4 linked regions of the Coturnix japonica genome follow. The protein of the gene in region 4 purifies or fractionates together with the protein of the main gene of each other region. This does not show direct contact. Links are inferred from orthologs where the notes say so. Each region holds a gene or a part of one and is shown on either strand. Other genes may lie near its edges. The genes, in order: MED9, CDK19, POLR2D and MED26.

What was found.
Region 1: the proteins of MED26 (region 4) and MED9 purify together in Homo sapiens (affinity purification with mass spectrometry; 6 studies listed by BioGRID and IntAct, with this or other methods). This does not show direct contact. The link is inferred for Coturnix japonica from reciprocal best matches to the Homo sapiens genes MED26 and MED9.
Region 2: the proteins of MED26 (region 4) and CDK19 purify together in Homo sapiens (affinity purification with mass spectrometry; 4 studies listed by BioGRID and IntAct, with this or other methods). This does not show direct contact. The link is inferred for Coturnix japonica from reciprocal best matches to the Homo sapiens genes MED26 and CDK19.
Region 3: the proteins of MED26 (region 4) and POLR2D purify together in Homo sapiens (affinity purification with mass spectrometry; 3 studies listed by BioGRID and IntAct, with this or other methods). This does not show direct contact. The link is inferred for Coturnix japonica from reciprocal best matches to the Homo sapiens genes MED26 and POLR2D.

The regions. Positions count from the first base shown.
Region 1 is NC_029529.1:4,802,545-4,810,093, forward strand, and holds MED9 (mediator of RNA polymerase II transcription subunit 9), read left to right. Parts: upstream 1-2,806; 5' UTR 2,807-2,841; coding exon 2,842-2,990; intron 2,991-5,838; coding exon 5,839-6,055; 3' UTR 6,056-6,634; downstream 6,635-7,549.
Region 2 is NC_029518.1:60,394,887-60,402,637, forward strand, and holds the start of CDK19 (cyclin-dependent kinase 19), read left to right. Parts: upstream 1-3,253; 5' UTR 3,254-3,462; coding exon 3,463-3,590; intron 3,591-7,751.
Region 3 is NC_029524.1:1,662,425-1,669,652, forward strand, and holds POLR2D (DNA-directed RNA polymerase II subunit RPB4), read left to right. Parts: upstream 1-3,413; 5' UTR 3,414-3,468; coding exon 3,469-3,541; intron 3,542-3,613; coding exon 3,614-3,794; intron 3,795-4,026; coding exon 4,027-4,122; intron 4,123-5,070; coding exon 5,071-5,149; 3' UTR 5,150-5,256; downstream 5,257-7,228. UniProt on the Homo sapiens protein: Core component of RNA polymerase II (Pol II), a DNA-dependent RNA polymerase which synthesizes mRNA precursors and many functional non-coding RNAs using the four ribonucleoside triphosphates as substrates.
Region 4 is NC_029543.1:3,342,615-3,350,326, forward strand, and holds the start of MED26 (mediator of RNA polymerase II transcription subunit 26), read left to right. Parts: upstream 1-3,793; 5' UTR 3,794-4,522; coding exon 4,523-4,645; intron 4,646-6,723; exon of another isoform or gene 6,724-7,712. Other genes in the region: SMIM7 (small integral membrane protein 7), read left to right, coding at 54-144, 931-946. UniProt on the Homo sapiens protein: Component of the Mediator complex, a coactivator involved in the regulated transcription of nearly all RNA polymerase II-dependent genes.

The sequences.
Region 1 (7,549 bases), on a different chromosome or scaffold from region 4:
CACACCACAGAGAACTGGGGACACCAGAGCCCTGAAACAGATCCTCAATGACACCAGAATTCAAGACAGGTCAGATCCGAAGGCCAAACTTCCATCTGGTCACATATAGGGGGATGCTGGTTAGGAATCTCAGCAGTTGCAGGCTCACCTCTGAGGACAAAAGGACAGAGTCCCTGTGCTGCTGACCACAGCCCCAGGCTGGTTGCCCAGAGGAGCTGTTACTTCTTGTTCCTATCGCCCCATGCCAGGTGGCCACAACCCCAACACCATCTCTCTCATTCAGCAGTACAGACTTATCCCACTGCAGCAGCTCAGCAAGCCTAAGATAGAAAATTCAAGCTGACAATGAGCTATCGGGGCAGGACAAAGAGATAAAGTTCAACCTGATGATAGCCACACAATAAAAAATGATAACAGAGCTGGTGGCAATGGCACAGGCAGCTCCAGATAGCCTGGCAGAGAGAAGCAGAGCCTGGTGACATGCCAGATCATCCATACAGAAATGTCAGGTCATTGTAAGGGAACATTGGTGAGATGCAGAGCTGTGTGGTGCTCAATTAGATAACTGCTGGTAGCCCCCCTCCTGAAATTATCTTTGGAAGCAGACGTGAGAAGTAATTTGTATAGAAAGACAGGGGGAAAAAGGAGGTGATGACTGGTACTGTAAGGAAACAGGCAATAAGGGGTATTGGATACACTTTATTTGATCAGTCGTTTTTTAGGATAACGGATTAACCAAATGGTAGGGCAAGCAATAAAGTGTATGGGATGGCTTTAAGACATGGAAGGTCTGGAGACCTCCACGAGAGAGCAGCAAGAGAGCCAGACACAGCCCTCCCATCTGAGATGGAGACCTGCAGAGTGCAGAGATCATATTGAGTATGTTGTCTTCCCATTAGGAACTTCATCACAAGATGTAAGCCAGGTCACCATCTCACAGGGATAAAGGCCTCACAGCTTGGAGCACTGTAAGGGCAGCTGAAGATTAGGGCAGTGCTCCTTGGCCCAAAAAACCTCTTCTTCCTTCCCAGGCCTGTCAGCTGGGTCTTTACCCTCCCTGAAGTCTTCACCGAGGCTATGGACACACCAGTCATGGTACAGACAACAGGCAGACATTCAAACAGTAACTGTGCACTCTGGTCCCATCAATTCACTGGTGTCTTCAGTGATGGAGGAGCCAGTGGCACCATTTCCTCACTGCAAAACATGAACATGCCTAACCAGCCCTGAAGGATGGAGATGGGTCACCTGAAGGAGCTGTTCTCATGAGGAAGGGAAGGTGTGAGGCAGACAGGGCTGAACACCACTGAGACAAAGCTGTAGATTCCAATTGCTGTGGGAACACGTGAACCAAAATGGGAACGGAATGGTACAAAGAAATTCTGATTGACAGTGCTGTAGTTCTGCCTGAATGGTATCTGCATGTTGTCACCTACTCTAATGACTGCCTGACTCACCCATGAGAGGCAGGCATCCAGCAGCCTAGCAATTAGCCACACTCCTTGATAAAGTCTAGGGGAGAGTTAAAACCAGCACAGCACAGAATAAAATGACCCCTGAGGAGCCTGAATCAAGTCTTGCTTTAGAAACAGCCCATAAAACGACGTGCAGAAATGAACCTCTCTGCTCAGCCCCACACAAAGGCATTAGCATCCTGTACCTCCTGCTTGGTTCAGTCAAGGGCCATGAATCCCACCAGCCTTCCCGCAGGGATCTGCTCAGCAGGTCCTGGGCACCCCTGGGCTCTCCTGCACATTCCAGAACTGGTGACCAAGCCGGGATCTATTCTTGACAGTAGAACAATGTGAACAATTGCATCTGCTATATTTAGAGCGAGCAGTCAATAATACATACGCACAAACGGTTACCAGCGTTCTCATTTGATACATAAATAGTTCGCTTTTCAAAAGAAATTGTTTTTTAAAATGAAAATTACCTTTCCCGTCATCCCTGGGCTATAACTAACTGATGAACCCGGGAGCTGAATTCAAATAAAAAACAAAATTATCTGTGCTCTCTAAGCCAATCCAGGAAGGATAACTCACGACTGTGGCTGCTGTTATCAGTGCTACAATAGTGTGTATTGACAGAGCGGTTTAAACGCGGCAGCAGCAGTTTGCTGAAGCACACTCCTGATGGTGCACAGGGGCAGCACTGCTCACCCTCACCTTCCATGCAGCGTGTTCTCCATCACCCCCTTGCACTCACAGCCCAGGCACCCAAGAACCCCACCTCTCCCCTCCTTGCAGCTTCATGGATGTCTCAGCCCTGCTGCTGGATTTTTGCCTCCATTCCTTCAGGTTTCTCCAGTTCCAAGCCCTGAAAGCCCTTCTCTTCTCCAGGCTGAACTCCCTCAGCCTGCCTTTATATGGGAGAGGTGCTCCAGCCCTCACAGCATCTCCATGGCCCTCCTCTCCAACGAGGACAGCCAGGAACAGTTGGGCTGCACACAGGTCAGGGATGCTGTAGGTCACACTGTGGGGTGCTCAGTGTGGGTGTGCAGGGCACTGCCTTGGGAGCACAGGCCCGGCTCAGCTGGGGAACACCTCAGCAGCAGTGCAGTCCCATATCTGAGACCCAGTCCCAAAGCTTGACCCCGGGCTCAGCCCCCACACCCACCCTCACAGCCCAGGACCCAGGGAGGCCTCCGAGCCCCGCTCCGGCCCAGGCCTCAGCCCCAGGCCACGGCCCGCAGCATCCCCACACCCCAACCTCCTGCCCAGGCCCAAACTGAGCCCCACACACAAGCAGCATCTGATGCTCAGCCCAGGCCGCCGCCGGGGCGGTACAGAGCGGCCGAGCTCCGCCCCGCTCCGTCACTGCTCGGCGCCGGGGGCCGCCATGGCCTCGGTGGTGTCCGCAGGCCGAGGGGCCGCCGAGGAGCCGCCGCCGGCCGAGCCGCCCACCGAGCAGAAACCGCCGCCCGCCCCGCCGGCAGCAGCGCAGGAGGAGTTCTCCTTCCTGCCGCTCGTCCACGACATCATCAAATGGTAACGGCGGCCGCACAGCGCCGGGCCGGCCTCACCACGGCATCACCCCGCAGGGATGCTCCCTCTGCCCTTTCTCTCCCCGCTGGGGTCTATGGGGGGGTTGGCAGCTGCTCTGCTCTGAGCCGGGCCCGTAGTTGGGGTCACCGAGGTGGGGCAGGGCCGGGTGTGCAGCAGCAGGAGCCGTGCCGAGCTGTTATTGCCCCGTATTGCTGCTCTGATGGGCTGATAAGTAAAGGACGGGCAGTCCCAGGGCAGCACTGTCTGTTTCTGGGCGTTGGGAGAAAGAGGAAGGCTTGTGCAGGCTGAGTCATCCTCTTTCCTGTTCAAAATCAATGCTGTGGGGTTAAAGGTGTTCGTACGAGGGTCCTGACAACCAGCGTTTGTGGCCCAGGGTAACCCTGTCAGAAATGTTTGAGTTCCCGGTAGGGGCATCGCCCTGCTGTGACCTGGGCACGTTGCACAGTGATGCAGAGGGCACAGGAAGCGTGAATTCCCACTCCTTGTTGTGGGTCTGACTGCCCTTTCCCTGCACGCTTCTATGGGAGCTGAGGCTGCTTTGTTTCCTGCTGGGGTTCTGTGTGTCTGAGTACCCAGAAGAGGTTCACCCTTATTAACCATGCAGCTGGAGGAGCATGGCAAGGAAAGGCCGAATACCCCACAGACACGGCAGCCTAGAATCTAGCTCTCCTAGATTCAGGAGAGCTATGAGAACTCAAACCCACCCTCCATTTCCCCCCTGCGCTGCCACTGTCCCTGTGCTCAACCCTGCCTGATCCATCCAGAGGTGATGCTGAACCTGCTGCCATCTGTATATGTGTGCAGAGCCAGAGTGAGCCAGATCCACGGGCTGAGACCTCCCAGCCTCCTGTGTGTCACCAAGCAAGTCGTGGCGACCCACAATGACAGTGCTGGGATATCCTGTGCCCTGTCCCTCTGAGCCACCCACTCCCACTGCCCCGCTCCCCCCCAGGTTGGCACACAGCATTTCCTGCACGGGGTGAGCAGACGTAGGTGCTCAGAGCAGCACTGCAGAGGGGTCAGACGGCAGAGCCGAGCAGTGGGATGAGTTGCCTCATGTCCCTGACAGATGGCAAACGTATTATCCTTTAACGCCGCCGCCAGGCTCACAGCCCGGCCCTGCTGTTCTGACACTGACTCAGCCCTGAAGACATTTCACATCTCCAAGGTGACTGTGCTGGGGTGCAGTGATGTATCGCGTACATTTGCTTACATTCAAGGACACGTGTTCCTTCCTGTTGTTTGAGTCCCAAGAAAGTTCTCCCAGGCAGGGCTTGCTGTTACTTTCACCCTTGTATAATCAGATGAGGTTACCTGTGAGGTCCCTGTGCGTGGTGGGTTGTGCTGGTGTATCCAGGAGCTGCAGGTGGGACATGATGGAGTTATGATTTGTTCACAGCAGTGAAGGAGAGCTGGTGGGCAGCTGGGGAGGGTCTGAAGATCTCAGTCCTTGAAGGGAGATCCCAAGCACTGTGAGGCTGTGGCTGGACATTGCATTTAATCCTGTGTAACTGCAGGTAGCTGAACCTCTTCCCACTCTTGCTCTCCCCCCTGCCTTTCCATGCCTGCAGAGGAGCTGCTTCAATTACTTGAAAACTCCCATCAGAAACAAAACAACAACAAGCCTGAAAATAGTTATTCCTTCAAACCAACCAACCAACCAGGCAACCATCCATTCTTTGGATGTGGAGAAGAGAACGAGCTGTGGAAGGACCTGGTCGGCCCTTTGAATCCAGCATGCAGCTCGTGTGGATTAAAGGCAATGCCAACCCATCCTTCCCAGATGTGCAATGTGTGTGTGCCTGTATTTTTCCACTGTCAACTTGACCGTAAACGCCTGCATAATGGGGGTACATTATAGTACCAGCTGCGGTTTTATTTAGAAGGGAGTCATGAATATTTTGTTCCAACAGGCTGTTGAAATGAACGGGACCATCTGGTTAAAAGTTTTGCTCTCAGTCGTGTCACGATTCCCCAAAGTTCTAATCAGGCACCTCTCTGCCCTGGTCATGCCAAGCAGTTTTATTTTGGGCCTGGCTATTGAACAGGCTCCCAGCTTACAGGGGCCGTTAGCAGCCTGCTCTCGTTATTAGCGCTGCCTTGGAAGCAGTCTCGCCTTTGCCTGGAATGGTAAAACTCCTTGCTGTAGCTAACAAAGCTGAAGCAGATACTAATGAGGGTTTGAGGGCAGACGCTGCCTCAGACGACGCTGATCCTCGAGAAGCACGGAGCTGCAGAAGCAATTGTGCTGCTCTTAAAAAATAAGCTGTCGCTTCTCTTTATTAGGTAGACATCCCCGGAGAGTCGTTCTGAAGCTCCGAAATGCCGTTTTCTCTGCCATTGGACACACTCTGGTACTTTGGGGAACGATTCCTATTTTCTGCTGTCAAGCTGTTTGACTGCATCGATTTCTTGTATTGCTTTGACAACAGGTCACAGACGGGGCTGAGGTCTTTTTTCCCAGGTGCCCACACACAACCTGTGTGTGTGTAATCTTACCTTCCCCATATGGGAATTGAAACAGAGTGAGAGGCTGTGGTAGTGTTTGAAAGCTGCAGACCAGGTCTTAACCTGTAGGACTGCAATTAAGGTTACTGGATGGTGTGCTGAAAATGACCAGGAAACCAGTTTGTCCCAGCAGCTGCCTAATCTGTGTATGTGTCTCTGGTGGTTTTGTTGTGATAGGTGTGAATTAGATCCCAGGAGCAAAAGTTTCCCAGTGAATTCCAGCGTAAGCCCTGACCATGCTGGGAATGACAGTCCACCAGCAGGCAGAAGGTCTGTCCAGCAGGAGATGTGAGTCATGCCTCTTGTTTTCTCCCTTCTGCAGCATGGACAAGGATAGCCAGGATGTTCACCAGGTGCTGAACGAGCTCAAGAACAAGTTCCAGGAGATGAGGAAGCTGATCAGCGCCATGCCTGGCATCGGTGTGAGCCCAGAGCAGCAGCAGCAGCAGCTGCAGAGCCTGCGGGAGCAGGTCCGGACCAAGAACGAACTGCTGCAGAAGTACAAGAGCCTCTGCATGTTCGAAATCCCTAAGGAATAGGAAGGGAGCAGCTCTGCAGTCTGAGGCTGGGATGCCTCTTCTCCTGGCTGGAAAGGAGAGGTTTACTTTGTGGGGCTTTTTTTTGTCACGTTCCTGTGACGTTGTGGCTGTGTGGGTCACAGGCATGTGACACTGAACCAGAACCGTTCGTGTGTCCTTCACATGCGATGGTTACAGCAGTGCCTTTGCTTTGATCTGCTGTAGGACTGCGTGCATTTATACATGCAGCTCTTGGGGTTGGCTGTATTTTTTTCATTCAAGCAAGCAGAACACAGTAGGTTTTCTCAAAAGAGAAGGTGGCAGTGCCTGCTGGTTCAGTTCAACAGGGAAAAAAAGGAGGCATTTTCTATATTTTTTCTTTCTCAATCCTGAAATGACAAACATTGAAAGGGAGCAAAGGGAAGCAGAGCTGTTCGGCCTGGAAAGCCTGTTTGTTGGGAAGGGTCTCTGGGGTGCTTTGCAGCCAGTGTGTTGGAAGAGGAACGGTTGCTTTCTGTTGCTTTTGTGTTTTTCTCTCTGTTTTTAAACTGGTCGTTGTGCTTGAGATGAGTCAAGTAAAGGTTAGAAACTCCAAACTGCCCCTCTTGTGTATTCACTGAGTGCACGTGGGCTGAGCGGGGCTGGGATGTGGCAGCCTGGGCTCTGCTCCTCTCTCTTAGCATTGCTTTTTGTTACCGGAGAGCAAAGCAGAGCCTGCCAGGGGAGTGGATTTCAGTGGGCTTTGGTTACGTTGGGCTCCCACACCAACTCGGTGAGCAACACACCGGGCATCCCACTCTTACAACAGAAAAAGTAGGATTAAAACAAAAGGCATAACTGACAGCAGCTTTAGTTATTCCCTAAGCGACACGAGTCAGGCTCAGCAGGACGGATCAGTTCTGTGTCTGAAATGCTCCAGGGGCTTCCCACAAACACCAGCACTGAACGTTCGTCAGACGCTGATGGAAAGCTCTCGAATGTTGTGTTGCATTCAGATGGGGCTCAGAACTCCTTGTCCTCTGTCCTCCTGCTGGGAGCTGCTGGGTGTCGGATGACAACCTGGTGAGCATCTCACCCACTAACAGGTACGTGACAAGCCCTGGGATCTCACCGTGCTGAGTTAACGCTGAAAGGTGGAGCAGCTCAGGAGTGGGAGAGGTGCAAAACGGAGTGGAGAAATACAGCGTCGGATGGGAGCCTGCGTCTGAGAGCAGGTAGCATTCAGATGATGGGAACGGGGTCTGTCTGGGTAGGATTTGGCTTCCCAAAGCCAAGAGGCAAGTAATTACAATTAACGTATTTAATATTGCAGGGAGCTGGGGTGGTTGCAGCTCACTCAGAGATCGCCCTGTCCCCACTGAGCGCTTTGCTAGTGATTTCTTTGGGAAGGTGCCCATGTGTAAACTGGGAGCAAAGCAGAACACCAAGTTAAACAAAGCACAATGTACACTTCTTTATTACCTTCCTGCCAGCCATTCCCCATCCCAGCTCAGTACATTCTTGTGTTTCATGCCT
Region 2 (7,751 bases), on a different chromosome or scaffold from region 4:
AAGACACACTTGTGATGATTCTGGTCGATCAGTGGTAAGGCTGGGTTGTAACTGTACAGTGAGCTGTGGTACATCATACCATGTGGAACTATTTTGCTTTTACTTTGCTGTTTTTGGCCTGTAAAGAGAAGGTAGGGGATAGGTTTTGTGATTTTTGTGAGAGTTTTCTTTTTCTCAGGAAAAATTCAACGATGGTTAAAAGCAGCACTGCCTATTTTGAGACCAGTTTCTTGGATTATATTCAAGAAAAGCACACAAGGTTTCTATTTTAGTAGTATTTGGATTGTGGTACTGTAAAAAAATGAATTCTAAAAACATAGAGCTGGCCAATTAATTATATAATGGTAACAGAATTCAGGGCTCCCATCTTCCATTCCTAGCATGTTCTCTAGACTTACTGTAAAATCTTGATAGTGCACCTTAGTTATGTACTTCATTTTCCAAGTTAATAAAGTTAATATGTTTATTATAGGTGTTTCGAAGTTAACTGACAGAAATTCAACCATCAGCCATCAACTCAAATGTGACAGACATAAGTAAACATTGTATAGGTTTATTAATGCCCCACTCAAGATCTACTGGAAATATGCTGTCTCTGATCCCTAAGAATCCAAAATTTCTCACTGTATTAACAAGTAGAAGCTTTCAAGGAGAGTGTGCAACGTCTTCCAGATGTGGCCTAAAAACTTAACAGAAAACACTTTTGATCTCACCAATACTCAAATAGAAAAGATTAAGAGATTGGCTAAGACAGAAAATACAACTTACCAAGACAGGAAGTGAGAACAAACTGGAAAGAAAATGAATTTTCTGTATACACAAAATACACACTGTATTTTGTGTGCAAAGGAAAGAAAAAATTGGTCTGTGCCATTTCATGATGTGAAAATATTAAAAGAGCAAATTCTTATTTTCACTAGAAATTCATGCTTTATCTCTCTAGGAGAATCTGAATAGAGAATTACTGAGAATATTCAGTGCCTCAACTTTCAGTCTTGTTTGAAATACTTTTCCTTTCCTACAGTCTGGGCACTACGTGACCATCAAAGCTCATGGAGAAATGGTGATGTTAACAAGCAGCAACAACCCCTCATCTCCACTTAGGCTGTCAGCCTGAGAAACATCACACTGGCAACTTGCAAGTCTGTCAGTTTCTATTTTCTTCGGTGGTACTTTTCTGAATATCTTTATCAGCACAGTTAACAAAGGATAAGGCATTATGTATCTAAACATTTACTGCACTGAACAGACACGAATAACACAATGATAAACAATTCAAGAATGGTAGGAAACCCATCTGAAGAAGCAGCAGTTTGCACAGGAATGCAATCTCTCAGAACAGGGTTGCTGCCAAAGGGCAGTTCAGAAATCAGAGATTCCCCAAGTAGGAAAAATTACAATAAGAATTTGAAGCAGAATCTTGCCATGTGCTCCAATTGCAAGATGAGACAAATATGCTCATCCTCATGATGATTGAACTTCTGCAGTCTTCAAATGAGAAGGTAATCTTGTTCCTACTGGACTCTGAGCTGGCCTAAACTTGGATCCTCCTTTGCAGGATTTGCAAATATAGAATCATAGAATTACGCAGGTTGGAAAAGACCCTGAAGATCATCCAGTCCAACATAACCTAACCTAAGCCTAACCAGTACCTTAACTCTAACAACCCTCTGCTAAATCATATCCCTGAGTACCACATCCAAACGGCTCTTAAACACAACCAGGGATGGCGATTCACCCACCTCCCTGGGGAGCCTATTCCAGTACCTAACTACCCTTTCTGTGAAGAAGTGCTTCCTAATATCCAACCTAAACTTGCCCTGGCACAACTTGAGGCCATTTCCCCTTGTCCCGTCACTTGTCACTAGTGAGAAGAGACCTGCCCCGCTCTCAATGTAAGAACCTTTCAGGTACTGGAAGAGGGCAATAAGGTCTCCCCTCAGCCTCCTCTTCCCCAGACTTTAACAGCCCCAGCTTCCTCAGCCTCTCCTCGTAGGGCTGATTCTCCAAGCCCTTCACAAGCCTTCACAAACTTCCAAGCCTATAGCATAGGATGACCAAAAGAAGGGGGAGTAGGGAGCTAATTATGGGAATGAGAAGAGTATGGCTGTTCGAGTCCAGCAAAATGAAAGCTGTGAGGCAATGAGATTGCAGTCTGTAAACAGTTCTGGCAGGGGATACACACAAGTGGGGAAAAAAGGCTACGTTAGGGTAGTACTCGCATGGGAAGATGGATGTAGACAAGTCTCAAGGAAACGCAGGTTTGGAGGTTAAAAAAAGGCTTTCCCGTGAGAGAGGTTTCTGTCGGGCAGCCTCCAAGCAGCAGCAGCAGCGAGGGGTGAAGTGTTTACTGTCAGAGCACGATTGGTTTGAGGAAGGATAAAACAGCCATTTGCAACGCTGAGGAGCTGGGTGTTCTGCGGGATGGGGAAGAACCGATCTGCCTCAGCTCACAGCTGGCAGCCAGGCTGAGCCCCTGTAACCGGGTGTGCTGTCACCCTCTCCAAACAGATACAGATACACAGCAAATTGCAGGAGAATCAGACCTGTCACATAGAAAACAAGAGCATCTGTGATGAGACTGGGGGAAAACAATTATTATTGCGGTCACAGTGAGCAACAGGATCTCGTAGAGCTTATTATTACAACAGTACAGCTCTCTGAGGCGGTGACATGTTTGCCTATGCAAGCCTATGTGCTCTCTTTTCAGTGCTGGATGTGATTGCTGGGTGACTAAAGCTGCGCTTTGCAAAAGGTGGATGGTTAGCTCTAATTTTAGCCAACATCTTTAATGCTGACGTTGAAATGGTCACTGCTGCATTTAGGCAGACTGAGTAGTTCATAATATCCCCATCTGTAGCTGCGGGCTGCACATCTAACAACATTGGCCGCTCTGTCCAATCATGGCGGGGGGGTGGAGCCGAGCGTTGAGTGGCAGCCGCCGAGATAAACAAGTTTCCTCATCGCCCCGCTGGTTTCCCCGCTCCCCGCGGTTCTATGCGCTGTTCCGGTGTCGGTGCCGCTCCACGTGGCGGCCCGTCCGCCCGGCTCCGTTCAGAGCCGCCAAGTTCCCGCTGGCCGCCCAACGCCGCCGGGCTCCGGGGAGCGCGGTGCGCAGACGCCGCCTGGCCGCGGCTCGCGGTGCGTGCCGGGAGTCGTAGTTCTGCCGCGGCCTCGTCCCGCCCACGCCGCCGGGGCCGGCTCCCGCCGCCGCACTACCAATCCCGGCGTCCCCCGCGCCTCGCCGCCAGGAGCCCAGTTGAAGCGGGTGGCGGCGGAGCGGGCCCCCTCCCCCCGCCTAAAGCCCCGAACCAAAACAAAAACAAACCGCCCCCCCGCCCCAAATCCCTCCCGCCCCCCGCGAGCCCCGGAAATGGCGGCGCCGGGAGGGGGCTCCGCCGGCCGGGGGTGCTGAGCCGGCAACGCGTCCCCGTCCCGTCCCTCCCCGCCCATGGGCGAGACATGGACTACGAGTTCAAGTCGAAGCTGGCGGCCGAGCGCGAGCGGGTGGAGGATCTGTTCGAGTACGAGGGCTGCAAAGTGGGCAGAGGCACCTACGGGCACGTCTACAAGGCCCGCCGCAAGGACGGGTAAGGGCCGCGACACCAACACCGGGGCCGCTAACCCGGCAGCTCCGCGGCGCCCACCGCGCCGTCCCAGCGCACACCGAGGGACGGAAAGTTTGCGGCCCGGCCGGGCAGGTGCGCGGGATGCGCCGCGGGGGCGTCGGGCCCGCGCTGCCCACGCGTGTCCGTGGCCGCATGGCGGGGTCGCGCCGCCCGGCCGGGAGCGGCTTCGGAACGCAGCGGCCGCTCTAGCCCCGGCTGCGGGATGGGGTCCGGCTGCTCCCCGGGGCTCAGCGGGCGGCGTTGCCTTTGCGGGTTGTATCCGCCACCTGCCCCCGTAACCCACGGCTGAGCACCGCGTCTCTTTGCCGGCTTGGTCTGGGTGGGTCGCTGAGCCCGCTCGTGTCTCCAAATCTTCCTTCTCGCCACAGAGACAGCTGAAAGGTGTCCAATGTTTGGCTTGACGCGCTGTGTGTTGGAGAGCTCACGCTGCCATTTGGGGTTGCCAAAATCGTGCCTTGCACGCAGCCGCCACAGGCCTCTGAAAGGCAGCGGTGTAGGGGTGAGCTCTGACCCCGACCCCATCCTTCTGGAAGGGCTGTTTTTCCATTTATTGTGCCCTGCTAATGGTGCACACACGTGGGCCATACGTATAGAAGTGTTCTAAGCGCGCTCAAAAGACTCATAAACCTGAAGTGGCATCCTTCGGAGTTGAATACTGAAGAGCCTTCCATCCCAGGCAGCTGGAACTTTGAAAAGACCGAGTATGATAAAATGGCTTTTTGGTTGCGTTGTGCAGCTCTGGAAGTGATTGATGGAATGCTGCTTTCCATTCAGAAAGTAACCTAGGCACTTTTCTTTTAATGTAGGAGTAAATTGCATTCATGTGTTGCTCAACAATTTAAACTGCGAGTTAAGTGGCTGTAATATCAAAGGGATCAGTAAGAGTCAGCGGTTTGGCTCAGGTGAGGGACTGAGCACTGAGAGGTGGGCTCTTCTCTGCCTAACTGGCTCCGCAACCTGAAAAATAGAGCATAACTAACTCTAAAAGGAAACTTTGCAGCCTTCCTGGGTATCGCTGCACGTAGGAACAACATAAAAGAGGTAGAAGCTTGAGTTTACTGTTTTTATGACCAAAAAAAGGCTTTTGATGTCTGTCTACCTTATCTGCCTCATTTCCTTCAGTGGTAATGGAAAGTTGTGATAAGATTGACATTAATGCTACAAAACACCATAAAGGACGTGTCTTCAAAATCCTTAAGTAATAGTATTAGGAATGCAAATAGGCAGCAAATCAGAAGTAAATATGGCAAAAAAATAGGTTATCTCCAGCTTTGATACACTGGCTAAAGGAAACCTGGAGCCGTGAGCAGGCCTGCTGGTGAGAGGAAGTGAGAAGTTTCAGTAAGCGGTCAATTAGATTGAAGTGCAGTTTAATAGGGTACAAATGCAACTTCACTGTAAGAAGTCAAGTTTTGCTTTGTGAAGCATGGAAACTGGGTTATGGCATCAGAAACTTCACTCTTAATCAGTTTGTGTAGCTCTAGGACCTTTGGTGAAAGTAAGATGCGAACGAGTTAAAAGATTCATTAAGATGAGGTGATTTCTTTATGGGAAGAGAAAAAGCAGATAGCTAAAATATCTTTATGCAGTGGAGCATATTTACCATTAATCTTTAAGTTTGTGGGTTCCTTAATGACAGAAAAAAACAGAAAAAAAACCCAGAAACTCAGCAGTGATGCATTTTTATAGTGTGCCGATCACTGGGGGATTTTGAGGCACATGTAAAGGAATTCTTCTTTGGCTGATCACGGTCTGCCTCAGTATTTCACATTTGCAGAGCATGATGGTGGCTGCTCAGTGTCTCATAGTCAGTTTGCAGCCTCGGGAGGCTGGGGGCACTGAGAGCCTCCCAGCTCTGAAGCAATTCCACGGAGAGCCTGTCACTTCATGTTTCAAAAACTTGGCACGCAAACTTTATGAAATAGTAAAATGTGTTTATACGAAGCCTGGCAAGCTGGTGGATCAAATGCTTGTAAAAGTGGTTGCTTGGATCTCGGTGAATGGCTTGGGTATAAAAGAAGTTTTTAGACGGAGTAACAACTGAGTTTGGCCTTTTCAGCCTAGAGTGGAATATCACTTGGGCACGTTTCTGGTGAGCTGATTGATTTCTGTGAAACTGAGGTATTAAAGTGTTTTTTAACAGGTAGTCAGGTCTGAACAATGTTGGTTTGACATTTGCAGGTCATACAAGCTTATTGAATACTTGACTATCCTTCCCAGTAGTGTGGCCTGATGAGATCTAGAAGTGTTACCTTTATTATACGCTTAGATAAGTAAGGCACCCGGTTTATAGAATTTCAGTATCTTTGTAGCCCAGAAGGGCTAGAAAATAGATCTGTGTAAGCTGTCTAATGGCTTATTTCAGTGTGCACTAAAGCTGGACCGGTGCCTTGGAGGGGTGGAGGTAAGAATATAGAGATAAACCTTGTGATTGCAGTTCAGCTGTCAGCGTTAAGTACTTAGCTCTTCATGTAGCTGGAAAACCTGTTATTTTTGTGTGCATATCTCCTCAAGAATAGCATGCTGACTTGGCTAATGCTTCTCTGGGCACCAGATCACATTTGTCCAGTAAAACAAAGAGTACACTTACCCCAGTTTGTGCCTGGGGAAGCGTGATCTGTTTTGTGTCGTACCTTTTCTCATTACATAGAGTCACAGAATGACCCGGGTTGGAAGGGACCTCAAGGATCATGTAGTTCCAACCCCCCTGCCTGGCAGGGCCACCAAACATACACATTTACTAGATCAGGTTGCCCAGGGCCCCGTCCAACCTGGCCTTGAACACCTCCAAGGACGGGGCATCCACAACCTCACTGGGCAGCCTGTTCCAGGGCCTAACCACTCTTGTAACATTCCTTACTCTTTCTTTGCTCGCAGTTTCAGCCACGATGGTGTTTTTAGTTAGACTTCCTGTACCTCCTTATTGCAGGGGAGACAATTTATAGGAAAAAGTGTGGGTTGGAATTTCTGTTGTTTTCTGTTGGTGGTGGTGTTGAGGATGTCTGCATTATTTCCCTCTACTCTTTGAGAAGATCAGTCTGTCAGTTCATGCCACTGCAGGGTATTTCTGTTCCGTCATTCGCACTCACCTGTAGGAGTGTGTCTGGACATGTCAGCAAGCTGGGAAAGTACTGCTGTTAGTTAGTCAGGAACGCACCAGGAGTGATGGGATTCAGGAGACAACTGGAAACAGGCTGTTCTTGGTTCAGCAGTAGCCCAACAGTTAACAAAACAAAAACCTAAATATGTAGTATTTTTAATCCTCATGTTTCAAAACACCTTTTAAAAATTGGGTGTGTGCAGGGAAAGACAGGAATATTCAGCGTCCAATATGGTGTGTGCAGAAGGGCTGGGAGCTGCCCACCCATCTGCTCCTGTTCTTGAGCACCGAGGGCTTGGAGCTAAAGGGGAGTCTGTGCTGCTCCATGTGGTGTCAGTGTGCAGAAGTGTGGGTGTCAAGTTCTTAATGCTGGTACAAAGTGCTCACATCACCCAGGGGTTGAGTGAAAGTTAGGGAAAGGCCATGGGAATGGAAAGAGAAAGGAAGGGGAAGTCTGCAGTCAGAGTAAGTGTGAATCTAACCCAAGAACGCTGGCTTTGTTTCCTGTCAAGTAGCCTTTAGTTTTACATTATTATTATTTTTTTAATATTATGAATCATATCTGTTCAAAGCAGATGTGAAAGATCTTGATCAGGAGAGGAATGCTGTGGGAAGCAGCCGCACACAACAAACCAGGCGTTCCTGTGGTGTGGCTCAGGCATCTGGGATTTCTGCAGGCAGAGCCGTGTTGCTCAGAGATTGCATCTGGTCACACGTATGACCAACATCACTTTGGTAATGGAAAACCTGCAGCTTAGAACAGGCAGAAGCAGTCTGTGTAATCTTCTAAATCAGCATTGGAGTAACAGTAATTTGTGTGAGCTTTTCCTGTATTGTTATTCTTCAGAACTTAAATACTGAACTAATAGAGCATGAGCGTGTCAGGAAGTGAAACTCACACTAGAGTTGACTAAATGCTACAAACAAGCAGTGCTGGGGTTGCAGTCACAGGGCAATGAGTGCCTGGATGCTGCAGCTGCCCTTGCTGTTGAGTGACAGCTCCTTGATGTGGTGAGGAATAT
Region 3 (7,228 bases), on a different chromosome or scaffold from region 4:
TCAGAACTACAGGAGTTGCCAAGTTGCTATCATAGCTGTCTGGAAACATAAAGACAGACTTGCTAGGAGAAGTGAGGAGAAATAGTAGGAAAATGAAACACAAATACTCAAAATGTTGTACTAATAATCACACAGCAAAGAGTCTGCATTCCAAAATAACACTGACTCAATGATAACTCCGTTAGTTATCCTGATGGTGGAACATAGAGCCCACAGACACTGAATTCTGTAGCACTCTGAAAATCATGGATCTGTACATCTGGCTTACAGTACCTTAAAGTGTTCTTTGGTTTTGGTCTTTTAAAATGAATTCAAGAAAAAAAAAGAGATGATACACACTTTACAGGTCCTCAAGTTATCTTAAATACAAACAAACATTATTTAGGGGAAAAAGAAAGGTGTATTGCTAGACTCATATTAAATCTTGTAATGATTGCTTTGGGACAGGACTGGTTGCGCACAGACTCTTTTGCCTTTTTGCTTACCTCTGGTTTAAACGTTCTGTACATTGACGGGCTACTGCTGCTGACTGCTCTATGGCAGATGTGTAGTTCAAGGTCCTGTATTTCACACTGGTGGTTCTCAAGGGCTGCAGCCCTGGTACCGGGGAGGAATGAGTGTAAGAGGAAAAAAGAAATCAATAAACTACATACCTGAAGAGGGAGAGCGGTTCTGAGTTGAACACCCAAGGAGTTTGCTCACTTCAGGGCAGCTCCAAAGCATGCACTTCAGCAATTACGTTTCCTTGGAAGACTTAAGATAATGCAAGAATTTATTTCTTGTATGTCCCTTATGCAAAGTAGGGAGTGAGTTAAGGAGTCTGTAGCTACCCCGATCTGCAGGTGACTTGTATGTCCTGATGTCAAGCACAAAACCAGCAACTGCTGCTGTTAAGTGCCCTGATTGGCTATCAGTTATGCTTTCTCATCTGCATTTTTAACTAGGGTACATACACTGATCTATGCTTTGTATCACTTTATGGCATAGATATTTTTCCTTACTTTACACTGAAGCAGACAGGCACAAAATCTTTGGCCTGTGTCTTCCATTGGAGATTCCTGTCTGCACGTTGCTTCCACGGCTGCAGGAACCCTCAGCAGCTCACAGTGGAGGTGAGCACAGGCAGAAGGAAGTGCTGAAATAATTCCAGGATTGCTCTCCAAAAAGCACTTCCTTCTGGTTTTACTTCTGCTTGAAAAGAAACACACACCAAAAAAAAAGACAATTAATGAGTCATTTTGCACTGATTAAAAACTCTTAAAAACAAATGATGAAATGCCTGGGAGAAATCTCTACAAGAAACTTCAGCTGAATAACACTTGTTTTTATTCCTAGCAGAATATAGACATTTTTTCTTTGAACAAAGTTTATATGAAGTATCTAATGATGATTGAGAAATGCTGTGTCTCAGAGACAACCATTAAAAACAGAACATGTTACTCAGTGTTATTAATGTGCACACTGAGCTGTATGTGTAAGTATTGCTCTCAAACGGAATGATACACAGCACAGCCAGTTCAGAGTGTGCTTAGATACTGTATATATATATTTAAACATCAGTGTTATGTCAAAGCCAGTTTTGCATTCAGATTGTCAGCATTTGGGTGTGTGGATACAATTTTGTATTGCTCTTATGCTCATCCACTGTATTTTTATTATTCAATTTTAAAAGGAATTGATAAATGGAAAGTGAGATTATAGGAAAACTTTGGATATTTATACTTCAAGAACACATTAAAAAAACATGTAAATCTTGTGCAACAATGGCCATTTTGACACCAGTTTTTCTAAGTGGGGGATTTTGCTCATGGATTTTGATGTAGCACATGTTAAAAATGTTGCTGACAACAAGAAGAGATTAAGGTCTCAGTGTTCTGATCTTATTACCTTCAGTCAAAACCTGCTTTCTAAATAAAAGTCAGTCTGTGGCACGCCCACTAGGTAGATAATTACTGCGACAAAGCTCCAGAGCTGCTGGAAGGAAAGACATTACAAAATTCAGCAATGCTGATAATGGAATGTATTTATTACATGTTCCTATGTTTTACTATACAGATGTTTAGCTAAAGGGGTTTTGTTTTTGTTGTTTGTGTGTGTGTGTGTGTGTGTGTGTAATAGCTGTTTTTTTGCACTCAAGTTGCTAGTGGGTCTGTTTTCAGAGGGAAGGAAGGAATTGCTGTAGAGTATCTATTTAATAAACCACTGATGTCCCAACCAACACTTTCTGCCCTGGACTATGCAACAGAAGCTCATGTCTAAAACCTGAGACTGAAACCAAGCACAGCAGTGACAGGGAGCTGTTAGCCACCACCACCGCCTCCTTGGCTGTACCTTTATGCTCTTGTAGGTATGTGGCTTTCCCCGAATCCTTTCAGTTTTCATGTACTTAAGTAGGAGAGATCACTGGGGAACAACAGATGTTAAATTTGTAACCAAGACTGCAAGCTACCTACTGCTTGAAGATCAGGATGTTCTGAGGTGAAAGGGTATGTGAGAAGCTGTTGGGATTCCAAATGATTTTAAAAGGCTTCTCTCATCAATCTGGCATGTGGATGTGGCCCTGGACAGCCTCATCTAGTATTAGATATGGAGGTTGGTGGCCCTGCCTGTGGTGGTGGGGGGGGGAGGGGTTGGAGCTTTATGATCCTTGAGGTCCATTCCAACCCAAGCCAGCCTATGATTCTATGATTTCCTTGTTTTCTTGTAAACGTAATTGAAATAGCCTCATTCACTAGATGTTCTATTTCCACACTATCTTCCTGAGTGTCTTTCTGTTTGTACCACTCAGCTAATTCGTTTTTAGTTCGCTTCTCTGCCACGCTCGTCTGGAGTTAACAAACATTAAGGAGCTCAGATCTGATCCTGCAGCTCCTGGTGGAGCTCACCCACCTGCAGGGTGCAGGAAGCACAGCAGCCGGCACAGATGTGCGTTAGGAGAGCAGGAGTGGCCTCACAGTGAATCCTCCAGCCATTTATTTCTGCATTTCTTTAAGGGCATGGGGTGACATTGTGCAGCCTAAGATGATTACTGTAAGTCTTAAGCTGGTTGGGCACTTTCATGTGTGTTCCCAAGGGAAAGTACTACTACAAACACTACTTTGCTAGCAGTGCCAGGACGAACCCACTCATTTCCAGCCTGCCTGAAGCTTTAAGCTGTCTATGGATTATTCCTGAGTAGGCCAAAGAAGGGAACCTTACTTCTATTGTGTTCTGCTATTGCCATCCATGCTCCTCCCACACACACCTCCATGTATTTACCACACTGCACCAGAAGTAATGCTGCTGTGGGTTGTTTCCTGGAGCCATCACTCGCTGCGTTCCCTCAGAGGCATCAAGATGGAGGCGCTGGGTGCTCACAGCGCCGTGCAGCGCAGCTGGAGCCACCTGAGGCGCCGCTCCCTCTGCTGGGCGCCGGGCACTCACAGCGCTGCGCTTCCGGGCGCCATGTCTTCCAGTTCCGGGTGAGCAATGGCGGCGGGCGGCAGCGACCCGCGCACTGCGGATGTGGAGGAGGACGCCTCGCAGCTCGTCTTCCCCAAAGGTGCGCGGCGACACCTCGTGCTGTTGTTTGGATCCGTGTTTTAAACACTGACGTTTGCTTGTTCCAACGTAGAATTCGAAACGGCAGAAACCCTGCTGAACTCAGAGGTCCATATGCTTCTGGAGCATCGCAAGCAGCAGAACGAGAGCGCGGAGGATGAGCAGGAGCTGTCCGAAGTCTTCATGAAAACCCTGAATTACACAGCGCGGTTCAGCCGCTTCAAGAACAGGGAGACCATCGCCAGCGTCCGCAGGTGGGTGCGAGGCTTTGGGCTGTGATACGTAACATCAGCCTTGTTCGATGGAGCTGAGATTTACTGACGTTTCCTGGGCTTCCCACAGCTGTGTCTGTCTTTTTACCTATCCACTGTTGTAATGTTTCTTCCTTCATAAACTTGGATGCAGTGTCAAAAAGCAGAGTTGTGTGCTGTCTGCTTGCCTTGATGCTGCTTTGCTTATCTGTCTTGTTGTTGGCTTTCCTCACAGCTTGCTGCTCCAGAAGAAGCTCCATAAGTTTGAACTGGCGTGTTTAGCCAATTTATGCCCTGAGACTGCTGAGGAAGCCAAAGCTTTGATTCCCAGGTGAGCATTTATATACCTAAAAGGAGTGTGGTGTACTGCCCTGTGATGTAAAGCTGCCCATGGACAGATGCCTCCTCCATAATCCAGCTCTGCTGATGGGAAAACCTTCCATCTCAGTTTTTCTTCACTTACCCATTGATCTGACAGTGAAGCAATCTAAATATCCCTAACGCACTTTAGATAACATTTACTGGATTAAGAGTGATGGAATCGTGGAGTTGGAAGGAACCATTAAAGGCCATTTGCTCCAACTCCCCTGCAGTGAACAGGGACACCCACAGCTGGGTCAGGTTGCTCAGAGCCTGGCCTTGGATGTCTCCAGAAGTGGGGATTCCAGCACATCTCTGGGCAGTGGCTTAGACTGGGGCTGTCAGCCCAGCCAGCTGCGTTTGTTGGTTGTTGTTGGAGCAAACAGCAGTGTCCCTCTGAACCGCTGGGTGGACAATGTGCAGATGGGGCAGGGAGATCTTCCAGTGTCGTCTCATCATTTGTTACCTCGTACCCTGAGATAGAGGAGGAATGAGACACTCATCTGAAGTACAGCTTTCCCCTTGTATGCTAAGATTTCATAGAATCTTCTAAGTTGTACAAACGTTTGTTGAATACCTCCACAAAAGGCAACCAGCACTTCCCTGCTCAGCCTGTTCCAACACCTCACCACCCCTTCTGTGAAGAAATTCTTTCTAATTGAAACCTCCATTGGTACAACTTGAGGTATTTTGCTCACATTCTTCATAGCAAATCTGGACTGGCTTATGAGCATGAGGCCTGCACCCGGGTTGACCTTTTGGTACAATGACTTGAAATCATTCCACACTGAGCTGTGGGAAGGTTGGAGTTCTGTCACATAAACAGGAGGCTCTGCATGGGTGTGAAATGAATTCAGAGGGGAACAGGGGAGGCTGTTCCTACGAGCTTTAATGTACCCACCTTGTTCTTACCTTGCAGCCTCGAGGGCCGGTTTGAAGATGAGGAATTACAGCAGATTCTTGACGATATTCAGACCAAACGCAGCTTCCAGTACTGAAGCTGAGCACCAAAAGCTGCCCTGATACGCTCAGTTGTTTTGTATTATTCCCCTTAGCGTAAATTAAAAAAGATGTTTCTAAGATATTAAAAGATATTTCTAATTAAGCTTCTGTGTTCTGTCATATTTATGAAGATCTCTGCAATACACTGATTGTACTGGGACAAGGTGGACGCTCTGAGGGCTGCGCGGCTTCCGATTGCGCATGCGCAGGCTGTGGAGCGGCCTCCCTGCCGCTCAGCGTCTTATCGTGGTGCGCATGCGCCGCCCCTGGCGCTGGTGGGGGCAGGAAGATGGCGGCCGGCCGCGGCGGGGGATCGTGAGGCGGCGTCGGCGGCTTCCGGGGCCGAAGAGCCGAGCCGAGCCGAGCGGCGGGGCCGCGAGGGCGCGGTGGGAGACGCCGGCTGGACGGTGAGCTCGGCTGGGTGCGGTGTGAGGCGGGAGTGGGGCTCGGAGAGCGCGGTTCGCTCCGCCATTTTTAGGCCTTGGCCCTGGAGGGAGGCCGAGCTCAGGCCGAGCTCAGGTTGGAGCGGGGCGGGATCGCGGCGCTTCGGGCCCGGCCTTGTCCGCGGGGTGAGGGATGTGGGCTGTGAGCGCCGTGTTGTGGTGGGGCAGCGCTGCGCCGTGCGCGGCTGCTGGGGCCTGAGTAGAGCGTCTGTCCCGCTCCCAGTTCGTGCTGTTCCTCCTTGGGCCTGCGGGGTGCCGGCCTGGCACTGCTCGGAGGTGGGTGCGGGGCTTTGCGGGCAGGTACAGCCACGTGCGGCAGGCGCTCACCTACCCTGGGAGCTGGGCGGGCTGTGTAAGCGCACGGTGGGTCATTTCGATGGTGGTGATTTCTCAGTTAAATTTATTACTAATAACGTCTTAAAATTAGGAAAATGTCTTTTTTTCTGCTTGCTAAACTTGGTGAAAGCGCGCATTATTTCTCCCTTGCTGACTCTTAGCTGCTTCTTTAAGATTAGATATTTGTATACTCGAAATATGGTATTTTGCGGTAGTGATACTCATGTGAGCGTCTCAGTCTTACAAAAACTGCCGTAGGTAAGTAGTTCTGTACCGTTGGGTCTGTGCCTTATTGCATCTTTAGTGTTCGTTTGTGGGTAGTGGTTGGGAATCTGTGAGCTTCAGTCCTTCAACCTTCTTGCAACAGTTTTCTCTCCCTTTGTACCTGATTTAACTCGAAGCTGTTATTCCTTTAATGAAGGCACTTCCACATGCGTATTTGCGAGAGAGTGTACAGTATGTAATCAGGGTTGTGTCAAAGTACCCACGGTTTCTTTCTCTGCAATTACCAGTCTGCAGAATTGAGTTCTGTTAAAATACATTGTTTTTAATATAGCAGTGTATAATAATAAGCTCTCTATTTACAGTCGGCTTCTTGACATCTTGTTTGGTTGTGCTGTAGTATTTCTAATGGGTAGTTATGAGATTCCGGAGAACAAACAATTTAAGCAGCCTCAGCATGGTAAGACTAATTTGGCATGTCTTTAATTGATTTTGTTATTGTTTTTGGAGTTTTCTGCCCAGCTGCTCTAGAACTCAAAAGTTAGGCTTGACTTGACCTGCCTCCATGGGACTGTTTCAGAAGCTGATGAAATTACCAGATTAAGAGTCAGTTTTCGTAAATAAATAGAGAAATATCAGGGACATGTGAAAAATCTTTGAGCTATAGAGAATTAACTGATTATCTGGTGTGTATTTACCATAGGATCACAGGTTGGCTTGGGTTGGAAGGGACCTGAAAGCCCAGCCAGTCCCAGCCTCTGCTGTGGTCAGAGATACTTTCCCTCAGCTCAGGCTGCCCAGGGCCCATCCAGCCTGGCTTTGAGCACCTCCAGGGGTGGGAACCCACACTTCTCTGCACAGCAGTGCCAGTATCTAAATGTCCTTTAATGAGTGAGTCCAGAGAAGGAGCATTAAGATGATCAGAGGGTTGGAGCACCTCTCCTATGAGGAAAGGTTGGGGGAACTGGGCTTGTTCAGCTTGGAGAAGAGGAGGCTGCAGGGAGACCTCATTGTGGCCTTCCAGTACTTGAAGGGAGTGTATAAACAGGAGGGGGAATGGCTGTTTGTGAGGGT
Region 4 (7,712 bases):
GACTTGCTGCTTCGCTGGGTGTTATTTCACATCTTTCTCCTCTTGGCTTTTAGGTGACAATATCAGGGAGTTCTTGCTGAGCCTCCGCTATTTCCGAATCTTCATTGCCTTGTGGAACGTCTTCATGATGTTCTGCATGATTGTGTAAGTACAGCCGGGCAGCACCTGCCATCTGTGGGGCTGAAGCCACATAATGTTGGTTTTTTCTTGTATTTCTCTCCCAACTCCTTTCAGGGGAGATTCAGGCTGAACATTAGGAAATATTACTTCTCAGAAGGGGTAGTCAGGCATTGCAATGCACTGCCCAGGGAGGTGGTGGAGTCACCGACCATGGGAGTGTTCAAGAAACATTTGGATGTTGTGTTGATGAATATGATTTAGCCGGGAAGTATTGGGAATGGTTGGACTAGATGATCTTCTAGGTCTTTTCCAACCTTGATAATTCTGTGATTCTGTGATTCCTCACACTCTGTTGTTCCATAAATTACTCTCTCATTTTGCTCATCTGCTTTGATCGTCCAACAAATAGTGGCTGACCTCATTTTTTGCCTATATGGGCACCTGTACTGCATGAGAGCCTCTCTGACAACATGGCATCATTTTAGGCTTGGGTATGATATAATTCAATTCAGCATCTGCAAAATCAACACAGTATAAACTTCAGGATGATTTTCATTTGGGGAGGGAAATAATGCCAGATAATAAAAACTAATAATGAGCCATGAGAATAGGCTCTAGATACTCTGCGTTGTACTTGGGATAGGCAGGCTGGCAAAATTCCTGTTTTCTTTTTGCTGCTGTAGCCCTTCAGTCTGATGCATGGCAGAGCAAAACCAATTACAGCAGTGCGGCAGCATCGTGAGCTGCAGTGCTGGTGTGGCCGCTTTGCTGTACGTCTCTCATCTGCTCTCTCTGTGTTTTGTCCACCAGGTTATTTGGATCTTGAAAGTCATCTACAAACGTGTCTGGTAACTTGGAAGAGACTCTTTGGTTGCAAACATAACTTTTCTATCAAGTAAAAGATTATAATGCTTTCCAAACACAGCCCTGGGATGGTGGTGGGTCCTTCAGTACGAGCTCCAAAGGACAACACAGCACACAGCCACCCCATTGCCAGCTGCATAATGGGTGTGTGGATCTGCAGGGCAGGGAGCCGTCCAGCCCCTGAACCAAAGGCTTGAAAGCAAAATTCATTCAACTTCACTGGGAGAGAAAAACAAACAAAAAACCCCACAACTTTAAATGGTGTTGCTCAACGTTTGGTGCCTGATGTGCAGTGGGTTGAAGGCCACAGCCGTGCAGCTCTGCGTCGTCAGTTGCTCCCATCTCCTGCTGTGTCTGCTGTCTCCATGCTGTGCGTCACATGGGAGTCAAGCTTCATTAGTGGGAAGTTGAGTAAAATATTGATGTAACTTAGGGGGAAAATAACAGTCATTTTCCCTCATTATTCCATTTCTCTTTGGGAAAGTAGATATGGGCGTCCCAAAAGAGGATTTTCACTTTTTTTCCCCAACAAATTCATTTGTAGATACAAATTTTAAGATAAGGGTGGGTTTTTTTTTTCCTAAGTAAGGGACTTTGAACAGAAAAATATCTGTAATCCTCTGCAAGTTTTGGAATCATTTTGGATTTGGTTGAATAAAGAAGTTCTATTTAAGGGTAAAAGTCCATCTGATGTTGTGTTCGTTCTGGTAAGAAATTAATTCAGTATTGGTGGGGTTTGATGGATTTTGATTAGTCTTGTAACCACATTTGGCTTTTTGTGCTGGTTTTTAATGCTAAATCAGCATTCGTGGCTGGTAACGTTTCCTAGTCACGAATGCAGAAGAGTATATGGATAAAAGAACCCTTCGGAGAGGTTTGTCCTGCACAGAGCACTTACGGCCCTTGAAATTTAACCTTAATTCGCATTTTGTGTGTGATTTTGGTGTGTGATTTTGGTGTGTGATTTTCTTGTTTTCTGTCTTAACTTCTATGTTTCCATATTAGCAATATTGGTGCTGTCTCGCCTCGTCGCGGTGCCGGGCCGGGGGTGCCGCCAGGGGGCTCAGCGCTGCCCAGCGGGTCGGTCCCGTCCGCAGCTCCGGGTTCGGGCTCTCGGTCGGCGGGTCGGGCTGCGCTCGGAACCGGGCCGGCTCCGTGTCTGCATTCAGCACACGGCCGGCTTCGAGCCGACTCGGACGGGACCGAAAGCGACGCGTCAAAAACGGCGCGGGGTGAGAGCGCCGGGAGCGGCCACGTGAAGCTGCGGGGCGGCACGGACGGATCCCGGTCCGTGTAACGTGGGGCCGGAGTCGCGTTCCCTCCGCCCCGCCCCGCTCTGCCCCTTCCGGCCCTCACACCGCTCCGGTCGCCCCCCGGCTGTCGGGCGCTCCGTCCATAAGGCCGCATTCACCCTCGGAGCTGCCTCGCGCTGCCAACGTGGGGGCTGGAGTGGGACGGGGCCGCTTCAACCGCAGCCGGCGGCGGATGGCGGCATTTCGGGCTCACGGAGCCGCGGCGCCGCGCTCCCCTCCCCCGCCCGCGCTCCTCCAGCCCCGCGGGTGACCCCGCCGCCGGGCGCACGCGCGCCGTGAGGCCGACTGCGCACGCGCGGCCGCCCCCCCTCCCGTCACGGAGCCCGCCGCGCACGCGCTCTGGGCGCCCGGCGGTGCGTGCGGAGGGACGTCAGGGGCGCGCCGTGCGTAACGGCGTCGGGCGTGTCCCATGGTGCCCTGCGCGGGGCTGGCTCCTGCCCACAGTTGAGTTCGGCCCCGAGCGGAGCAGTCGGGCCCGGCCCGGTCGCGCCGTCGCGGTTCTTCCGCGCCCCGCTCCGAGCGCCGCCGCCCCCCGCTCGGCGGGGAGCGAACATGCGACTCCGGCTCCCCGAGGAGGCCGCCGCCGCCGCCGGCGAGTGAGGAGCCGCCGCCCCGGCCCGGCCCGGCCCCGCCGCCCGCCCGCCCCGGCCGCAGCCGCCCCGCTTCGCCCAGGCAATGACAGCGGCTCCGGCCCCCTCCCCGCAGCAGATCAGGGACCGGCTGCTGCAGGCCATCGACCCGCAGAGCAACGTGAGTACGGCCCGCCGGGCCCGGGGCTCCCGACCGGCGGCGCGGGGACGCCGAGCTCCGGCCGCTCTCCGGCCCCGCCGCCGCCTCCCGCTGTGGGAACGAACGAACGCCGTGGGGCCGCGCGGCCGCCGCCGCCGCTTCTCCTCCTGCCGGGACCGCGGCGCGCCGCGCTCCTCCCCGGGCACCGGAAGCCTCCGCTGCGGGCGGTAGCGGCAGCTCCCGGCTCCGTGCTCGCCCACGGTCCCGTTCCCGGCGGCGCTTTTCCGCGCGCTCCCTCCGTGGAGCTCGGGGGTCTCTCCCCGTTTCCCCTCCGGCCGCGCTCTCCCTCCGCCCCGCGCCGTCTCCCGTCACTCCCGGCGCCGTCCGGCTGTGCCCGGCCATGCGGCGCGCGGCCCGGCGGCCTCCCCACGCCAGGCCGCGGCTCGGGTGCGGCCTGCAGGGGGCTCTGGGCCGGGCTGCGGACTCTCGCAGGGCGCCCACCTGTTCCGCGGCCCCTCCGCCGCCTCCCGCCGCAGACGCCGGGCCCGGGGCCGTCCCCGCGTTCTGGGGGCGCCCGGAGGGCTTCGAAGGTGGATCCGGGGCACTGGAGCGGCTCCGGCAGCGGGCAGCCTCGGTCTTCGCTTTTATCCTTCCCTGCAGAGCGCTAATGAGCTTATCTGCTCCTTCTGGGATGTAGAGTAAGCACGGGAGTCGACGTAGATTTTACCAGTAAGTGGTCTTCATGTGTAAGTCGTGGTAATCCAAAGTGTTATTTACTCCTTTTAAGGTTTTTTTTGGCATAGTAAAGCAGCTCTTCACATCCACGTTTACTACGGTGAGAGGACTGTGGGGTCTGCGGTCTGTCAGATTTATTCGATCTGAAATCCACATTTGCCATGGCAGTGCACAGAGCTGTGCTGCTCCCAGCTGTCTGTCGCAGGGCAGTCAGGGTGAGTCAGGCTGCAGCGTGCTGTGCTGTGCCAGGAGTGCACGAGATGGGCTCCGAGGTTCATTGGAGCTGTGCCTGCTTCTCTCTGAGCAAATCTCTCCCATAACAGACAGGTGTTGTGTTCTCCGAGTGGCTGATGAACTTACTGCTGTTTGGAAGCATCATGTAGCGCCATGCAAGTGATGTGAAAACTGAAAGATAAACCACTTTGTAATAGCCTGTTGTGATAAGCATTTGTCATGAGCTGCAGTATTACCAGCTTGAGTAACAGTAATGAATGATAAGGGTGATGGTGGGCTTTCAAGTCTCAGTTGTTGGAGTCTGTGGTCCTTTAACTTGGTAGATACGGAAACAATCTTTCCTGAGTTCTGTTTGCTCTGGGACTTGTGGCTGTGGGATTTTGGTTTTACCTTACACTCAGCATCAAGCTGGTTAAATACAGTTCTAATGGAGCAGTGGTTTCTTGTCACTTCAGACCTGCTGATGCTGGTTGCTCTGTTTCTGGGGTTACTTTCTAAAACGTTGTAGCTGTGTAGAGTTAAGAATTATGTTTTGTGATGAATGTGCTTCTTCCATGTGCGATGTCAGGTTGTGCTGTGGTGGTGGTATGGAGCAGGAGCTCTGCTGGGCAGGTCTGAGCATCAGGCAGCGCTCTGTGGGCCTGCAGCAGGTCAGTAGCCCCATAAGCTTAGAAGCAATGTATGTTAAATTATAATTCTACATACTTGATACTTATCCAGGGCAATAATTAGCGGTGGAAAAATCAGCCCATTGTTCAGAAATGCCTGTAGGCAGGGGGCTGTCTTCTATTTTAACCTCTTCTTCGAATGAGAACAGAAGTGGTGGAGTTGAGGTTCATCATACAGACTTGGACTTTTTTTTCCCAGCACATAGTAAGCAATAGATGGACAGGCAGAACTGCTGTGCTGTTTTAGTGAAAGGGAGAAAAATATGAGTTTTGAACGTTCTTAAAAGCAGATTGTGACTTAAATCTGACTTGATCTCCAATGTTGAAGTACAAGAGAGGCTGCTCTGTTGTCTCCCCACAGGAAGCAGTTGTGCAGCTCTGAGCTGCAGCACTTCTTGGTGCACAGGGAGAGTTGTGGCTCTTTTCTTCTGGCTTCTGGAGACTTTTCTTGAAAGAAGTGGTTGCATTCAAACTTAAAGCATTCATTATTGTGATTGACTTCCTTGTTTACTAAGAAAAAAGCTTTGAGGCCTGGATTTCTTTTGGACTTTTTGATGTGATTGTCGGTGCGGGTACGTGTGTGTCCCTGGAGAGGAGGGAGGGTGAAAACTGCACCAGATCTACCCAGCATGTGGCACAAGGATCAGTTTGGTGGGGCTGTGGAGGGGAGGTGGTTCTCATCACGCTTTGCTGTGGGGTGCTGTCAACTTCAGCTTTGCTGATATCTTCCCCAACACAACCCGCTTTCCCCTTGTGGATATTCAATCCAGTGGGACTGTGGAGGTCTTTGTGGTATGAGCAAATCTTGGATAAGTGTGAGGTCCTCTCAGAGAAGATCCTTCCTGTGGTGAGTTAAACAAGATGGCTCTTCCCCAGGTTGTTGGAACCCATGTGCTTTCAGAAGCTGTTCACTATTCTGATCATCTGTTTTAACCTCTGCTTGAAGCTCTGCTGACTTGGAGCGCTGCTTATATTGTACACACATTTAGCACTTGAGACCTCTTCTAGTATTTGCTGCAGAATGTTTTGATAACTTATTTTCACACACTTGGATCACTATTTATGTGATAAAGCTCTGTTTCAAAGGAGACCTGTAAGAAATAAGCTATTTAAAAAAAAAATTACATCATATTGGAAGCCACACGGGATGTCTGCTGTTACATCTCCATTTATTCAGCCTTTTCCCCTTGCAAAAACATATGGACAAACTACTTCTGCTCCATGACTTACACCCCATTTACCAGCATGGGGTCATTGGGAATGGACCCAGTCCTGTATTGGAGCAGGGAGTTGGGTGTTGTACCCCCAGCAGGGCAGTGTGATGTTCCTGCAGGGAAATCCTCCTCCTGGGAGGACTTTTTGGACAGCACAGCTGGGGAAGCGTCCGATGGGCTCTTGGAGCGGGCTTTTAGGGGAAAGGGCTCCCTGGTTCTGGTAGAAGCAGCACTTTTCTCTTTGGGCTCACTGTGCTGAGCAGAACCCCTCTGCTGGGTGAAGGCGCTCCAATGGGGCATCAGGAGTCTCATTGCCTGGTGGCAGGAATGGTGTGAGCTGTTCGCTTTTGCTCTGTGGGAAAGACTGTTAGAACTGTTCTCACAATTGCACAGGGTCCTCATCCCAAATATGTAGCAGCCTTTGTGTTTTGAATATTAGACAATAATTTAATTATTTACCATTAATAGCACTTGAAGGTGTGAGCCCAGCTCTGGTTTGAGGTCACCACCCCTCAGATGCTCACTGTATGGGTTGGGCTGCCTGCAGTCCAGGCTGCCGTGCACACTGAGCTCCATGGCTTTGCTGCTCGGCCTCTGGGAGATGTCTGCAGGCCAGAACATTAATGATGAATCCGTCTATGTGCTGTGCTATGTTACCTAGTGTTGGGTGATCTTCCAGTCTCATGGTTAGTGATGTTTCCACAGCTGTTTTCTGGGTTGGTTGGTTTACCAAAGTTCAGGCATAAAAGTGAGATCTGCTTTCACAGTATCACAGAATGACCCAGGTTGGAAGGGACCTCAAGGATCATGAAGCTCCATCCCCCCTGCCTGGCAGGGCCACCAGGCTTCCACATTTACTAGATAAGGTTGCCCAGGGCCCCATCCAGCCTGGCCTTGAACACCTCCAGGGACGGGGCTTCCTAGAGCTGATGTTAAAAGGAAGGGGAGCTTGTTCCAGGAGACAGCGCCAGACACAGCTCTAATAATATCAGTGCTGGGGCTGAAGGAAGGCAGTGCTTTGCTTTGGGAGGGTCTTGGTAATTTCTGGAGATGCAGGGAAGCATTGTGTGGGCGAAAGTAGACTAGGCATGGCTTTTGCTTCAGCTTTATCCGTTTCTGTGAGGCCCTTAATGAGCTTATCAGTTTTGAGGAAGCTGTGGTGTGCAAAGAGGATGGAACCTGCTGTACCTCTCACTGGTGTTTTTGTCTCCTTCTTGAGTGCTTCAAGCAAATCCCAACCCGCTCTGTGCCTTGGCAGCTGACAGCTTCAGGTGTGTGGGGAAACATGCAGGAGGCCATGGCATTTCTTAGCCGGGACTCCTGGCTGCTGGGGGAGATCTGGTGGCTGCAGGTGGGAGTCCTGCTGCACTCAGCCTGTTCTGCTTCTTAATGCTCTGTATTGTCAGCAGCTGAGTTTGTTTAAACCCACTGGTTTAAGGCTGGTGATGCTGCTCATTCTTTGCCCTCTCTCTCCAATCTTACTGCTCATCTCTTTCCAAAACAGCTTGTAAACTAATTAGTGGTTCTCTTTTCGCTTGCTGACTGTGTTGTGTCAGTGCCTGTGATGCTCACACTGATGCTGGGTTTAACTGCTCTGAGGTAGTGCTCACCTGGCTGGGCCCAGGCGGTTTGTTGTTGCTGGCAGCGCTGTGTTACTCCTTGAGAGGAACCTGCACTGTGCTCCTTGCAGCAGTGAGACTTAGCAGCACTGAGCTGGGCTCTGCAAAGGCAGAATCTGAGCAGAACAGAAGTAGCAGGGAGTTTGAATTGGGGGGGTAGAAGATTTGGGGCTGCCAGATTGCCTTTCAGTTGCAGTTCCTTGGTGCTGTGTAGGT